Linked DNA regions of Caenorhabditis elegans. The gene in region 1 interacts genetically with each later gene. Each region holds a gene or a part of one and is shown on either strand. Other genes may lie near its edges.

The links. A genetic interaction does not mean that the proteins touch.
Region 2: of mom-4 (region 1) and apr-1, changing one enhances a phenotype caused by changing the other (phenotypic enhancement), as found in Caenorhabditis elegans (one study listed by BioGRID).

The regions. Positions count from the first base shown.
Region 1 is NC_003279.8:9,895,140-9,902,352, reverse strand, and holds mom-4 (Mitogen-activated protein kinase kinase kinase mom-4), read left to right. Parts: upstream 1-1,535; 5' UTR 1,536-1,753; coding exon 1,754-1,822; intron 1,823-1,980; coding exon 1,981-2,147; intron 2,148-2,250; coding exon 2,251-2,349; intron 2,350-2,394; coding exon 2,395-2,474; intron 2,475-2,891; coding exon 2,892-3,018; intron 3,019-3,631; coding exon 3,632-4,013; intron 4,014-4,356; coding exon 4,357-4,575; intron 4,576-4,624; coding exon 4,625-4,728; intron 4,729-5,416; coding exon 5,417-5,528; intron 5,529-5,579; coding exon 5,580-5,695; intron 5,696-6,235; coding exon 6,236-6,371; 3' UTR 6,372-6,675; downstream 6,676-7,213. Other genes in the region: lsl-1 (C2H2-type domain-containing protein), read right to left, coding at 86-352, 589-829, 877-961, 1,009-1,074; col-64 (Nematode cuticle collagen N-terminal domain-containing protein), read left to right, coding at 6,757-6,900. UniProt on the Caenorhabditis elegans protein: Part of the Wnt signaling pathway essential for the specification of the mesodermal cell fate in early embryos. Stimulates the wrm-1/lit-1-dependent phosphorylation of pop-1 and plays a role in the initial nuclear accumulation of wrm-1.
Region 2 is NC_003279.8:8,048,374-8,055,990, forward strand, and holds apr-1 (Adenomatous polyposis coli protein-related protein 1), read left to right. Parts: upstream 1-1,669; coding exon 1,670-1,852; intron 1,853-2,056; coding exon 2,057-2,211; intron 2,212-2,260; coding exon 2,261-2,987; intron 2,988-3,479; coding exon 3,480-4,067; intron 4,068-4,108; coding exon 4,109-5,662; intron 5,663-6,326; coding exon 6,327-6,608; intron 6,609-6,690; coding exon 6,691-6,768; 3' UTR 6,769-7,095; downstream 7,096-7,617. Other genes in the region: K04G2.7 (HTH CENPB-type domain-containing protein), read right to left, coding at 799-958; K04G2.9 (MARVEL domain-containing protein), read right to left, coding at 7,209-7,310. UniProt on the Caenorhabditis elegans protein: Has a role in endoderm cell specification and pharyngeal development. Required for the migration of epithelial cells, organization of the anterior seam cells and ceh-13 expression during embryo morphogenesis.

The sequences.
Region 1 (7,213 bases):
CTTTTCACGTCTTCTTTTTTTGTAAAATACAAAAGGGCGTGCGCCTTTAAAGAGTACTGTAATTTCAAATTGAATTGAAACTTACATCTCAAACTCGAGTGGTTTAGCTTGTTCTAGAACATCGGATGCCATGTGACAGTTAGTCAATCGCATTGTAGCTCTCATGATTTTATCGTCAAATGAAGATAGTGGGATAAGCTGGTTTCGGCAGATCATATCAACCCATTTTGAAGGATCTTTACCCAATAAAAGTTTCGGAACCGATCGCTTCTTCTCTGGATTGTAATAGGGCATCGATGTCCCACGAATGACTAGAGCATCGGACGGAATAATTCCAGACGAACGCCGATTGCTGAAATCATTTTTAAGACGAGATAGATATCAGAATTCCCCTCGTACAACACATATAATTCGTGGTTCGTGTATTATACGGTGGACGTACAATAAATGTATTATTCACATAATATAATGGACGAAGTTCTTAAAATTCGTGCAATGCAATGTGAATAACATATTTATTGTACGTCCAATGTATAATATACGTACCACGAACTATTTGTGAAGGTGAAGGGTCGACCGATTGCCAACCTCGAATATGGTCTATAAGCAGCTTCCAACTCTTCTTTGCTTGTCACATGAGTTCGCATGTGCTTTTTCATGTTTCCTTTCAATCGGAACTGTTTTCCACAAAATGGACACACATAAGGGGTATAGCCGGTGTGAACGGTACGATGCTCGAACATATTCGATTTGTATCGGAATCCTCGGCCACAAACATCGCAGATGTATGGTTTGGTGTCGGTATGAATCACAGAGTGCTGTTGGAGACCTGAAATGTTTTTTTTTATTTCAGCTTTCTATTTTTATGCGAATAACCTTTATAATTCATAAACATTTTATTACACACATTACACTGATGAACAGCAAACGGGGCGACTTCTTCTTGTTGATAGGTTCCGAACTAGAAACATTTCAATAATCTTAAAAATAAGAATCGAAATAAAATACCGTTATAGAAGCTTCGTAGTCCTCGCCGTCGTAAGATGGATCCGTTCGGTCATCAATAATTGACATCTGAAGTAAAAAATAAAATTTTTTGAAGAAAAAATGCAGACAATTTGTTGGTTTAAACATAAAATTAAGACAAACAAAACTCATAAATTAATTGACAGCTTCTCTAAATTTTAGGATTACCGTGTTTGACAGTTTCGTGGTGAGACCCAAAAGTTTCGTTGCGTCATGCGCCTTTGAGCACAGTGTCCCCAACAAAGAATTGTTTCTGCAATTTCGAATTAAGCTGAAAACATTATTTATATATTTAACAAAATTAGTTTAGAACAGAAGAACAGAAAATTAGAACATTTTCGATCTTTGTATTTTTTATACAAATATAATTTGAATAAATTTCCATACTTCTTCCCCGTTGTGTAATTTCTTTACTTTTCAGAACTTAAAACATTCAATTATTCTTTATTTTGAATTTTCTGTAAAACCTGCGCAATTGAATTTTATGTATTTATCAAAACAATTTTCAGCCATGCTACAGTAACTTCTTTAAAATCATCATTCTTCCTTGTCTAAATCGGAAATCTGTCTGTGTCCCGTTGGTCTATTTTGTTATTCGTCTGCAGTTTCTTCTACTTGTGCACTATATCGTTTCCACTGAGCGAGAGAAAGAGTATACACACACAACACATGCCAGTTCCTGTCCTTTGCCGCCCATCACCATTTTTTTCACCGTTTCGGCTCTGAAATGGACAATTCGTCACAGAGCAAACCGTCTAGTAGTTCGTCCAGTCATTCGCCAAGTCCTGCCGCAATTGTAAGTTTAATGGATTTTGAGTAAAGAAAAATAACGTTTTCTTGTAAAAACAGTATTGTATTTAATTTTTAAAAAAATCAGTTGAAGACGTATAAAGCCTGCTTTTACCAAAACTATCAATAAAAATCACTGAAAACTCAATAAATTAATAAATTCAGACACCAACACAACGAACAACACGAGATTCCGGATTGTGCTCAACAATTGATATTCCCGAAATTCAAGCACAATGTATTGATAATTTAAATAGTCATTATCTCGGAAAAGGCACTTATGGATTGGTTGAGAAAACAAGATATAGAAAAACTAGGCAGGATGACTTTAGGTTCGTTTCTAGCTTCAAAAATTTAAATTTAATTCTTTTAAAGCATGAGGAATTATCAAAAGTTAACAAAAAATCAATAAAATCACCAAAATATTATTTTCAGGCCAGCAGCAATCAAATATTCTTCTCAACTTCATATGGCAACTCTTATAAGAGAAGCAAAAGTTATGTGGGATCTCAGAAATCATCCTAATATTATAAAGTATGTTTTTATAAATGGAAAATACTGAAAATAGAAGTTTTTCAGAATTTATGGACTGTACAAAAGCCCTCGGAATGGGCAAGGAGTCGTTATGGAATATATGGATTGTGGAAGCATGGCCGATTGTGAGATTTTCATTTAAATTTAGTGAAAATCCCCGATTTCGCCAAATTTTTTAACATTTTGTCGGTTTATTCCGTGTTTCTTAGCGAATTAAACTACATTTTTTCGGCAATAGGAACAGAAATTTCTATCAGCTAAAAATATATTAAAATACATCAAAAAAGCGGATTATACTGCAAAATATGGAAGAAACTGAATAAAAATCAATATATGGACGCTGTAACACGAAAAATCTGGCAAAAAAAATTTCACTATAATTTTGAACAAAAAAAATGCTATTTGGTTTTTTTTTTCCATTTTTAGTCTTAAAAAAATCGCTTTAAATTCTCCAAACCCTGTTTTTTACGAAATTAAAAATTCATTTCAATGAGGCAATTCTCCAAAATAAAATTTAGCTGAAAAATCTATTTTTTTTTCAGTACTCTACGACAGAACACACATTAATTATACAATTGATCATGTGGCTTCATGGATGTTTCAACTATCATCCGCCGTCGATTTTTTCCATTCCAACAGCCAAGTTCACAGAGATTTGAAACTTCAAAAGTGAGTTTTTGATAGCAGAAATTATTGAAAGAAATATATATGTTGGATGTGAAGATGTTTTCAGTGATTTTTGAAAATTAACAGAAAAATATTGAAATTTTTTTCTTTACTATTAGCTAATATATTAGGTAAATTTTTTAAAAGTTGAAAGAATTAATGGCGGAGATCCTGTCAATTTAACAATTTAGATTTTAGAAAAATTCAACAAAATCTTTTGAAATTTTAAGTGAATTTAGTACAGAAAAGCAGAAATGTTTCGAATCCATTTTTAGACATTCGAAAAATTAATTTTAAAGGGTTCTACATTTTTGTGTGAGCTATTTTTTTTATTTTTTTAAGCAAAAAGTTCCTTGAAAATTGGTCCACAAAATAATGTGTAAAATCTAAAAAAAATCATTTTTAAAAAATAATATTTCAAAGTGGATTTAAAAATATCCTCCAAGAAGAACTAATCATATGAAAATAATTTTAAAAAGCCATTTTAAAAGTAAAAATGAGGAATTTCTTAATTTTTGTAGCTTTTCAAATTTCAATAAATTATCAGAAATCTTTAGCGGTCAGTTTTCAAAATTAAAATTAAATCACCTACTGTGGTCAATCAAAATAATTTCAGCATGCTTCTCTCTGATCGATATCGAACAATGAAATTATGTGATTTTGGAACATTTACCTCAATGCATCAATCAATGACTTCAAATCGTGGAACTCCAATCACAATGGCTCCAGAAGTATTTCGATGTGAACAGTATAATATGAAATCTGACATCTACAGTATTGGAATTATAATGTGGCAAATTATTGCTAGAAATCATCCGTATCGAAGAGATCTCTCAGTTCCTGGACTTTTATATAATGTTGCGACAGCTAACTTACGTCCACAAGAACTCGAATGTAATCCTATTTTGTCTGAATTTTATAAGAAATGTTGGAATGATAATGCTGATATTCGACCGACTTCTTCCGAATGTGTAGAATATTTTACTCTTCTAAAAGATGTAAGTTCTTTTAAAAAATTAAAAATTAAATACTCAACCAGTTAAAAACAATTTTTTTGAATTGAACAAATATTTCTAAAAATACAAAATTAAAATTTTTGGACAATCTCGAAAGAAGGTGCTGCAAAGCAAATTAAATTTTTTGTTTTCGAATTTTTTATTGCGAAGAAATTAAAGTATTTATTGAATTTATTTTAAAGTTTTTAAATTTTAAAAATTGTGTTATTCCAACACAATTTTTAATTTTATCTGAGAATTACTGTATTCGTGATAAGACCTGCTTTTCTATGAAACATATGAATCTCGCCAAACTCCAAAAAAACTAATTTTTTTTGCATTAAAGGAATATCCGAATGGGAGCGTACCTTTATCGGATTCTTCAACAAATGGACCAGCAGAAACTCCTCCACCACATGCTCATCGACCAACAATGCTTGGAACTTCTTCTGGAAGTGGAATAGGATCAAATAATCGAACACCAACTGCTTCAAAACTTTTAAATCCTCAACAACCTGGACAGGGTCATAGAAGAAATCGTAGTGAGACTTTTGTAGTGCAACCGGTAAGATTTTCATTTGGATAGCTTGAAAAACAGAAAATTGAAATTTTAGGATCTACCGTATCCAACGGTTCCGGGTGAAGCTGGTGCATCTAGAATACCAAAATCTCAAAGTGAAGCTAAAAATTTTCGGGATAGAGCCAAAAGCGAGCAAAGGTAGGAATTAATGGAAATGGAGATGAGGACTGTCCTGTTTTTGGGGTTTTTCGGATAAGAAACTAAATATCTAAAGACATGCAAATTTAGACTAGAATAATTGAAAAAAACATTTTCGATTATTTTTCAGACGAAATTAAAAAAAATTGAAAAAATTGTTGTCTTTCTATTTTCTCGCAAAAACCGAAAAAAACGTTTAGAAAATTAACTAAAGGATTAAATGTTTAAAAACTTGTTTTTATGAAAAAAACAAAGAAAGCATGTAATTTTCTTTATAGAAAAGAAAAATTACCAAAATTTGAAGCTATTTTTCAAACATCGATTTTTCAATTTTTTCAGAGAAAGTCAAAAAATTTAAAAACGAACATTGTTTGATTTTTCTGAAATTCTAATAATAGAAAAAACGAAAAAAAGTGTAATAAATATCAATTTAAAAAATGAAACTATTAATTTATCAAAAAATTCATATTTCGATGAGAAAATACGAAAATTGCTTTTAAAAATAGAAATATGACCGAAAAGTATTTAAAATTTGGCATTTTCCAAAAATAAAATAATTTTTTTAAATTTTAGCTTCTTTGGTTCTTAGAGAAATTAAAAAACTAACACTTTGATGGGTATTTCTACAAAAGTAGACATTTATTTTTTCCATTGACGTGGTGTATTATGAAATATCTCTTTTTTTCAGGCAACCACATAGAGACGCACGTCCTCCTCCTCCTTTTGAGCACCGAAGAGATAGCAACGATGAGGAAAAACATGCCGTTTTTATGAATATTTGTTCGAATGAGGAGACTAGAGTAATCCTTCGATGAGATTTGAATTAAATATAATAACATTCAATTTTTCAGCCTATTGATCCTGATACTCGTGACGAAAAATCTTTGGAAATCTTTCATCAACACTGTGATAATAATAAACAATATGCAGATGCTTGGGTCATTAAAAAAGAAGTTATGAGAGCTAAGTTAGTTGAAATTGCTATGTTTCAATGTAAAAAATTTGTTTTAAGATAAAAAGCATTTCTGGAAAAGAGGAAAAATTCAAATTTTGTATCATTGCATTTTCCGAAAAAAAAATCGAAAAAGTGTTTAGATTTTAATTTACGAAAATATCAGCTTTTCATCAAATTGTGTTAAGTTTGTGAAAAAAAAACAATTAAACATGTCATTTTCATTTGATAAAATAAAAAATTATCAAAATAAAAAACTAGTTTAAATATCAAAAAATCTAAATTTTTTGAAAATATCTAAATATTGAATAACAAAAATTACATATTTTTCGATTTTTTATTTCAAATCGAAAAAGCGAAATAATTTTTTTCTAAAACAAAAAGTGCAATTTCAAGTGTTTTTTTTTGAAAAATTATAATTTTAAAAAGTTTTAAGTAACAAAAATTATGGATTATTTATTTTCCAAAATAACGGTGAAAATTTTAAATATCCTGACCGAAATTTTGCTTAAATCAAATTCAAGTCCAATTGAAAAATACAATTAAAAATTTCAGACATGAGCTAATTGCCCAATGGCCTCAACACGATCACACGGTAGAACTTCTTGAACGGAAATATTATCTGGAACAAGAAATTGCAAGATATCGGGACATCCAAGATGATAATTACTTTTCAACTGAAAGAATGTGAACTCATTTCACTTTTTTTAAAAACATTCTTAGATGTATACTCATCTCTAAATAACTTTTATCTATATACTCACTTCTTGTTCAATTTGAATTCTGATCACTTCCTGTCAACTTTCTCTTTCAGTCCCTCTTTTCCTGTCAAACTTCTCTCTCCTCTTTAAAACGCTGGTCGCTGCCGTCTGTCCTTCCGAAGTTCTAAATGTAATTGTTATTATCTATAGATTTGTGTATTTAGTGTCTAGATATCATTACATGACTGTCGATTTTATGACAAGAAAACGTTTTGTGGAATTATCTATCTACACATCCAACATCTGAACGTATCACCCATGCCAACGTGCATATAAAGAGTGATACGAACGGCAGTGAAGAGACAGTCTACTGAAATGGGTTACGGTACCAATGTGGCTTCTGGTGTTACTGTCATTTGTGCAGCTTTTCTTATTCCAATGCTAACATGTACTATTTCTTTATTTTATGAAGTTGCACAAATGCACATGAGTGCAATGGATGGAATGGATGAATTCAAGGTGAGAGGCTAATTGCAGATAGTAGGCTTAAGCTTATGTTTAAGCTTCACCAGAAGATGCAAATATTTTTAGTATTTAAAAAACATTGATTGACTTATTGCTAAATGATTATCATAGTCTCGAAGCGACAAAAAATGTTTAAGTAAGTCTGCGAAAAAAATGGTTGTGCGCCTTAAAAAAGTACAGTATTTTTCACTACCCTTTAATTTGCAACTAATCTCAATATTTTCCATAAACGTAAACATATGAAAACTATACAGCAAAATGAATGAAAATTAATGTACTCTTTAAAGGTGAAAACTCTTTTTTCTTA
Region 2 (7,617 bases), 1.8 Mb from region 1:
ATGAACATTATAATTACCCATATTGTGCAGGGTATATGTTCACATAATATAAAAGGCCTGTTCAGTTCAAAAAGTATACTCCAAAATCATTGGAAAGTCATTTTATGAATGAAAACTGTCGTATCTCATCACTCAAATTTTCACACCTCGTTAGTTACAGTTCTATTCATTCCGGTAACCCTATTGTGTTGGGACATAAGATTCCTGATGGGACCACAAAAAAGTGGTGGCGTGTTTGCTACCCAACACAAATACCCTTGACTAGAGAAAGGGACTACGCAATCGTCGCGCAATCTGCCCCTTTCTCAACAGCAACAACCAAATTGGCTTGTTGAGAGGAAAAACAGTAGGTGGGATTACACACACTTTCTCTATCTGCCTAATATCTCTGTATCCTTTTCTGCTATTTTTTCGGCGCGAAATTTGAATTTGAATATCATAATTTCGTGGCAAGATCTAACTCCATTTTAAAGGTAGACGATTATTTTATCGGTGGGTCTCGCCAAGATCTCCGGAATTTTTATTGTGACCGAACCCAAATTTCATGATTTTTCAAAAATAATTTTAAGTGAATGTATAATAATGAATAGAAAAAGTCTGAATGTTCAGAACCTAGTCGGGTCGACTGAATTTTTGGAAAACATTTAGCGAACGTACATCACCCAAATTGTTAAAATAAACAGAGAAACATTCTATTCGTACCTATTCAGCCTAAATCAACCATTACATCCGTCTCCCAGTTTTTCCATTCCCACCTTCTAAATTGTATCATATATATATATATATATAAAATCTCACCTATATGTTGAGTACTCTGTCCATTGCTATCGCACATCTTCACCTCTTCATTATAGACATTAAATAGTTTCTGCTCTAACTCGCCTTCTTCAATACGACAGTTCGACGAGCTAGATGTAGAAGATGTTGAAGGACTCGAAGTAGATGTAGTAGTTGCCATTCAACGCAAATACACAAAATGAACTATTCTCTTGTCTTTTTTCTTCTTAGTTTTACCCCCGTTCAAACGCCTCCTTCCGATTCATCTTGTTGGTTGCAAACCATTTTTACCTTTCGTGCGCCGGTTTTGGAACTGCGGAACACGTAGTGTACTGTGTGGCGCCCTCCCTGTATAGTTATACACTCGACACTGCATATTTACATTGCGTTTCTTCGGTTTTCTGAAGGTCAAACCGATTGACTTCATCTCTGTTTCTTCTTTTTTTTTCAACCGAGGGGTTCGTGGCTGGCCTTCGAGTACTTTTGAACCATGGACAGCATAGTTTTCCATGTTGTTTTTACGGCCTTGAAAATTGAAGAATAGCAGCAAAAACGGTCACCTCTCGCATTGTAAACACCTGTTCTTTCGAATCAAAATGGGAATAAAACCACGAAGGAGTTTAATTAAAAGTGCTATTCAAGCTGGAACAAGAAATATTTTCGGTCCAAAAAATTGAAATCATTCAGAAAACCAACAATATAACAAGAAAAATTTAGGTTTTGAGTTTGTTTTGAAAGCTTAACAATTTTTTGTTTTCAAATATTAATTTGTTAAAAGAGTGATTTTTAACAATTATTATTTATTGGAATACATTGATGTACCTTTTCTATTTCTTATATATTCTCTTCAAATATATCAAAGATCATTCAAAATAATAAAATTAAATTTCAGATGAGCTCTAGTAGTAGTGATGAAAATGAAACAACGATACACAGAACAGGATCAAATACCGGTGGAAGTGGAATCTACTCACAACCTCGAGCAGGATCATCAAAAAGAACATCGAATGTGCGACATGATGTTAGTGATGTAGATGATGAAGAAGAGCATTATGCAAGATTTCGCGAAGATACGGTAAGGATTGTTGGAAAAAACAGATTTTCGATGTTGGTAAAAGGCCAAGTTTTGACTTTTTGAGGAATTTGAGCAATTTTTGTACCTGTACAATGGTCTTCTAAGTAAAAAAAATCGGAGCGTAAAAAATTAGAATATAAAAGTATTTTTTAAGCTTTTTAACTATTTTTTCTGAAAATACAATATTTAAAAGTTTAATTACAGGCGATCGAGGTTGACGATGCTATAACAGTTCTTCTTTCATCTCTACATTTCGAACACAAACGTGATATTGTTCCGACCGATGAAGATGATAATAAACTTCGAGAACTTCACGAAAAGATTTTTGCATTGATAACGAGTGAATCTGATGTTAACAGGTAAATCCGAAATTTTCAGAATATTTTTCAAAAAATCGTTTAATTTTAGAAAAAGACGGCTGAAAAAAGCTCTTCCTGCGTCAAACTGTGTTAGAGAACAAGTATATTATCTTCGAAGGAAACCATCAACACCACCAGCTTCTTATTATCATCGACTAAATGCAGCTCTTCACACAATCGTTAAGGAATCATTTGGAGAAGAATATCGAAAAGTTGCTACAGTATTAGGACTTGTTGAAGCGCTTGCAGAAGTTTTAATTCTTGAAGTTCACACATTTGGAATCAATGAGACCAATCCTGGAGAGCATCGAAATATTCGAAAACTTATTGCCAATGCTCTTACGAATTTAACATACGGTCAAATTCACTCTAAACGCCGGCTATGCTCATATGATGGATTCATTCGATGCGTTGTTCGAATTGTGATCGAATCTCCAAATATAACTCAAGTATACGCTGGACTAATCAGAAATCTCTCATGGAACGCCGATTCAGGAATGAGTGAAGCTCTTCAACCAACAGTTCATGCACTTTCAATTGCTGCAGTACATGCACATACACATAGATTCGATGTTACAGCAACATTATCTGCTTTGTGGAATCTTGCTGGTCACTCAGTAGAGAATAAACGAACTATTTGTGATACTCCGAATTGTTTAAAAGTATTAGCCAGCCTTCTATCTCCTGATGCAAGATTCACGTCACTTGTTGATTCAGCTACTGGAATTCTGAAGTATGTATCACAATATCTCGCGAATACTTCCACGCATTTAGAGGTTAGTTTTTGATTTGTTTTTGTTGAAAAATGCAAGTGAGGTTTCAAAGTTATCTTTTTTTTTCATAAATAGAAAGAAAAAAATCGAAAAAAATTTCATGGCGAGTCAAAATTTTGCAAAAAAAAATCCAAATCTTGCTAAATCTTTCGTCAACTTGCGCTTGTTTCCAATTTTGGACATTTCTGAATATCGACTTAAAATGTGCCTAAATAAATTAACGAGAGATAAAAGTCAGAAAAATATGCCACAAAAAGTGATTTCTTCAACAGGGATTTTAAAAGAAAATTTTGGAAAAATTTTACCCTTTTTTTCACCTTTTTGTAAATTTTTTGAGAAGTAAGTAGGTTTTTTTTTTGAGAAATTACGAAATTCGATGGTTTTGTGTCAGTTGAAGTTTTTAGGCAAAAGAACCCACAAACACTTCCCTTTTGCACATAAAATTGATCAAACTGAACAAATATCATTATTTCAATTAATCCAATAAAATTTCAGCTAAGAAGCTTGCTCATCACTCGAATGCTCACTTTGCTCAAGAGTGCCTCGTTCACTTGTGTTACAAATACTCTAGGAGCTATTGCAAACCTAATTGTCAAAGATCCCCACATGCAGCAAATGATTCGGCAGGATATGGCTGCAGTACAGCAACTCAACGTACTCCGAAACTCGAATCGTGATGATATTCGGACAGCAGTGAAGTCTGTGCTGAATACTCTTAATCAACCGTGTAGTCATCGTTATGGTGATATGTCACATTCTGTTGGAGGAGGAGCCACAGGGATGCAAATGCTTTCGGAGCCACAACTTCAGATGCAAACATCTCATCATGCTTATCATGGAACTGCGTCACCAAGATTACTATCACTGAGAGCAACTCGAGCATCACCTGGAAAATATATACAACCACAGGCTCAACAACAGTTGATACAGACTCCACAAGTTGATCAAAGATCTAGTAGTCTGCCAAGACATTTTGCCGTTCAACGAAATGGATTTGTGATGGCACAGTCCTACAATCAACAAATGGATCAACATCAGCAACAACAAATGATCTATCAATTGCAGCAACAACAACAAATTATGGTAACGATTTTCCAGCGTTTTTTTCTGTAATTTTCTCTTAGTTTCAGACGGAGGATCAAGCGCAAATGGAACATCATCAACAAATCATGTACCTTCAGCAGCAACAACAACAATTTCATCAAATTCAACAACAGCAACAAATGCAAAAAGCTCAGGAAGCTGATCCAGTTCCTCCTACGGATGACGATCTAGATATTCCCACATCTACCGTAATGGGAACACGAAGTAACAGTGAAAGAAGTCTCGGCTCGATGAATCCTGGAAGTGTTATGACAAACTGGAATTCTTCTCTGGATACTGCAGCCAACAGTTCTCGTGCTCTTTCTCCTGTATCATACAATGATATTCCAGCTTCTCCAACAATGTGTGCTCAGGTGTTCAATTTACCTAAATCCACTGAATCGGAACATCATCAATTGACGTCTCAACAGCAGAACACTACACATTATAGCAGTGGATCAGCTAACACTATGACTCGGAGTGATGGTGCAACTACTGTGCCAATGGATAACATTATTACACCAACTTATGCTATTTTGAATCCAATATTGGTACACGAACAGACACCGAACGGGACAGTTCCACGAAAGACTTCAGAAGAGTTGGATAGTCCTGATGATGTTCTCCCAGGTCCATCTCTTGAGGAGGAAGAAGGTGATTATGCTATAATAGGAGGTGCCGCACAAAAGACAGATGACGAGCTTTTGACTCGTTCTATTCAATCTGAAATGCCTACTTCGTCGTCTACTCCGAAGATGAAAGTCTCGCCTCGCCTTAATGGATTCTTCTCTCCAACTCAGAAAACAACATCGTCTCCTGCATGGTCTCATCCAGATACCTCACCGATTCCAAAGTCATCTTCTCATCGAACTCAACCTAATCGTCGTCAAGATGCTTCTGATGCAGATCGTCTTTTAATGGAATCAATAATGTCAGAGATGCCAAAAAGTCGAATTATATCTCCACGACTTGCTGGTACACAACAATATCTTGAACCCGAGCCAGAGAGAAGAAGTCATTCAAAAAACGAGGAAGCCGATCGCCGCGACGCATTCACCGCATCGCATGAGCCCAGCGATCATAACGGCATTGATGTGGCAAGAGGCTCAGACTGGTCTCCACAACAACAATTACATCGAATGGAGTCATTGGAAAGCCAAGCTAGTAGTGAAGATAGTTTTGGATTAACTGCTGAAGAACCAAATTCATCAACTTCTGGTGCTGCTGCAAACACTATGAGATTTGACGATGAGATCGATGCATCTCTTCCAATGGATTGTGTCGATGATGATGATTACGACTATACTTATGATCATTTCGAAGATTATGAAGATGAGGAGGATCCTGATGCGACTCAGTTTGATGATGGAGTTGATGCACAACTAACTATCGATTGTTCAATGATTTCTAGTGGAAGCGGTTCATCGCAAAGAAATGAAACTACGACAACGTCACGAGATTCAAAAGCTTTAGCTACTTCCACACCAAAAGGATCTGCATCTTCACTCCCAGGAGTTCGACAAGCCACCCGAGTATCAACGAATGGAAAGTCAAGACTGCCTGTTCCAAAAACGAATGGATCACTTGTTGATAAGGTATTTATTCTATTAAAAAACTCTGATTTTATAGAATTAAACAATGTCTCATGAAAATTGAAAATCGAAAAAAACGAGAGAAAATTCAAAAAATTAATCACAAAATTCAATTGTATATTGATGAAAAAAAATATTTAAAAAAAACATAACTTTTGCCTAAAAATAGTAATATGACCAATATTTGAGATTTTTTCGAAAACCCGAAATTGTTTTTCAATATATCGGGAAAAAAAAAACGAAAATGTTCGATTTTAGAAAAAAATCCAAACTTGAACCAACAAAAAATGAAAACTGGTAAAAACTCGGCATTTGGCTCTAGCTTCTTGCCCAAGTTTAGACAGCTTCTGATCCAAGTTAATTTTTTTTTGTTTTATTAACGTAAATGAGTACAGTAGAAAAACAAACTTTAAAAAATATATCAGAGATATTTAACTTTTGAAAAAAAAAACACTAAAAACCATAAATAAACCCACATTTTGTTAAAGAATATTTGTAAAATATGGAAAAATAGAAAGTGAGTTTTTTATTAATTTTTTTTTAGCAAAAAAAAATCAAAAAATGCCGAGCCCTGCTCCCAATTTTTTTAAATTAACTTTGATAAAATCAAAGACCAACTGAATTCTAAACGTTTCAAATTAGATTTTCAAACCTCGCTTTTTTGCAGAATCCCAAGCCAATCATCGCTTCCCGGCGGCCACGATTGCCACCGAAGCCGACACTTTTAAAAGATAAGCACTATCCAGAAGAGGATTCGATTGAGAATCAGACGAGAGATGATACGATATATGTGAATGCTCCAGTTGTTGAGGCAGAACAAGAACGAATTTATATGAATGCATTGAAGCAACAGAAGAACATTGAGCAATCACCGTCAATTGGAAACGGATCACCTATAGCTAAATCTGCAATTGTAACGCCCTACAATTATCAGAAACCGCCTTTCACTGTAAGAAAATAATTACTTTTTTTTAAAAAGTACAGTATCAATTCAAACATGAAGAAATATTCTTTAAAATAAACATTTTCAGGGTCGAAATAATGGTGAAATGAGCAACGAGAAGAGTGTGACACCGAATCCTAAACAAATGCTTGTAACAATAGTCTAATGATCCGCTCATATACCGAACCTTGTTCTTTGTATCCCCGTCATCTCTAGTCGTTCCCAGTTTCTAGTCGAGTGTTCTCATCTTCTTATTCTACCTCGAACTTTTATATTATTGTCTAATGGACCCTGTAATCATATTTCTAGCGCTGGCAATATACTATGTTTTCCAATTTTCTGTAAAATGTGATTTGGTTCTTGTTCTTGTTTCCATTACCTGACCGCTCAATACATAGCTGTTAATATGTTTCATTCAATTTGTAATACGAGTTCTTTCAACCTCACTCTGCTCCATTGTTTTCTCATCTTTTTTGAATCATAAATATTGTATATATTTATTAGTGTGAAGAAGTATTTGTTTTATTAGAAATCGGCAGGAATGGGAGAAAAAAAAACACGAGAGAATCAGTTATATTATGCAAACTTTCAAAGAAACCATTATCTTCAATATAGTTCTTCTCTGGATATGTTACGAAGTGAATGACGATTCTTATGAGTGAGGAAGGCAGTCAGTGCGTAGAAAATTCCCAGGATGAATGTTAGGAACTGAAAAATTAGGTTCATAGGTTTTTTGAGAGTTTTTTGTTGAGGAAAAATCCAGAAGAAAAGGAGCTAGTGGTGGATAGTTTATCTCTTTGTAACTTTTTTGATTTTCGAGTTAAGAATAAATTGTTACCCAGACGTGAATTTTGCGATTTTTGCGCCAAAAGTACGGTATCTGGTCTCGACACGACGAATTTTTTGTGAAATACAAAAGGTGTGCTATTGTAATTTCAAAATTTATATCGATTTTTATAGCTTTTCGTTAAAGACATATTCGTTTATCAAAAAAAACTATAAAAATCGATGAAGT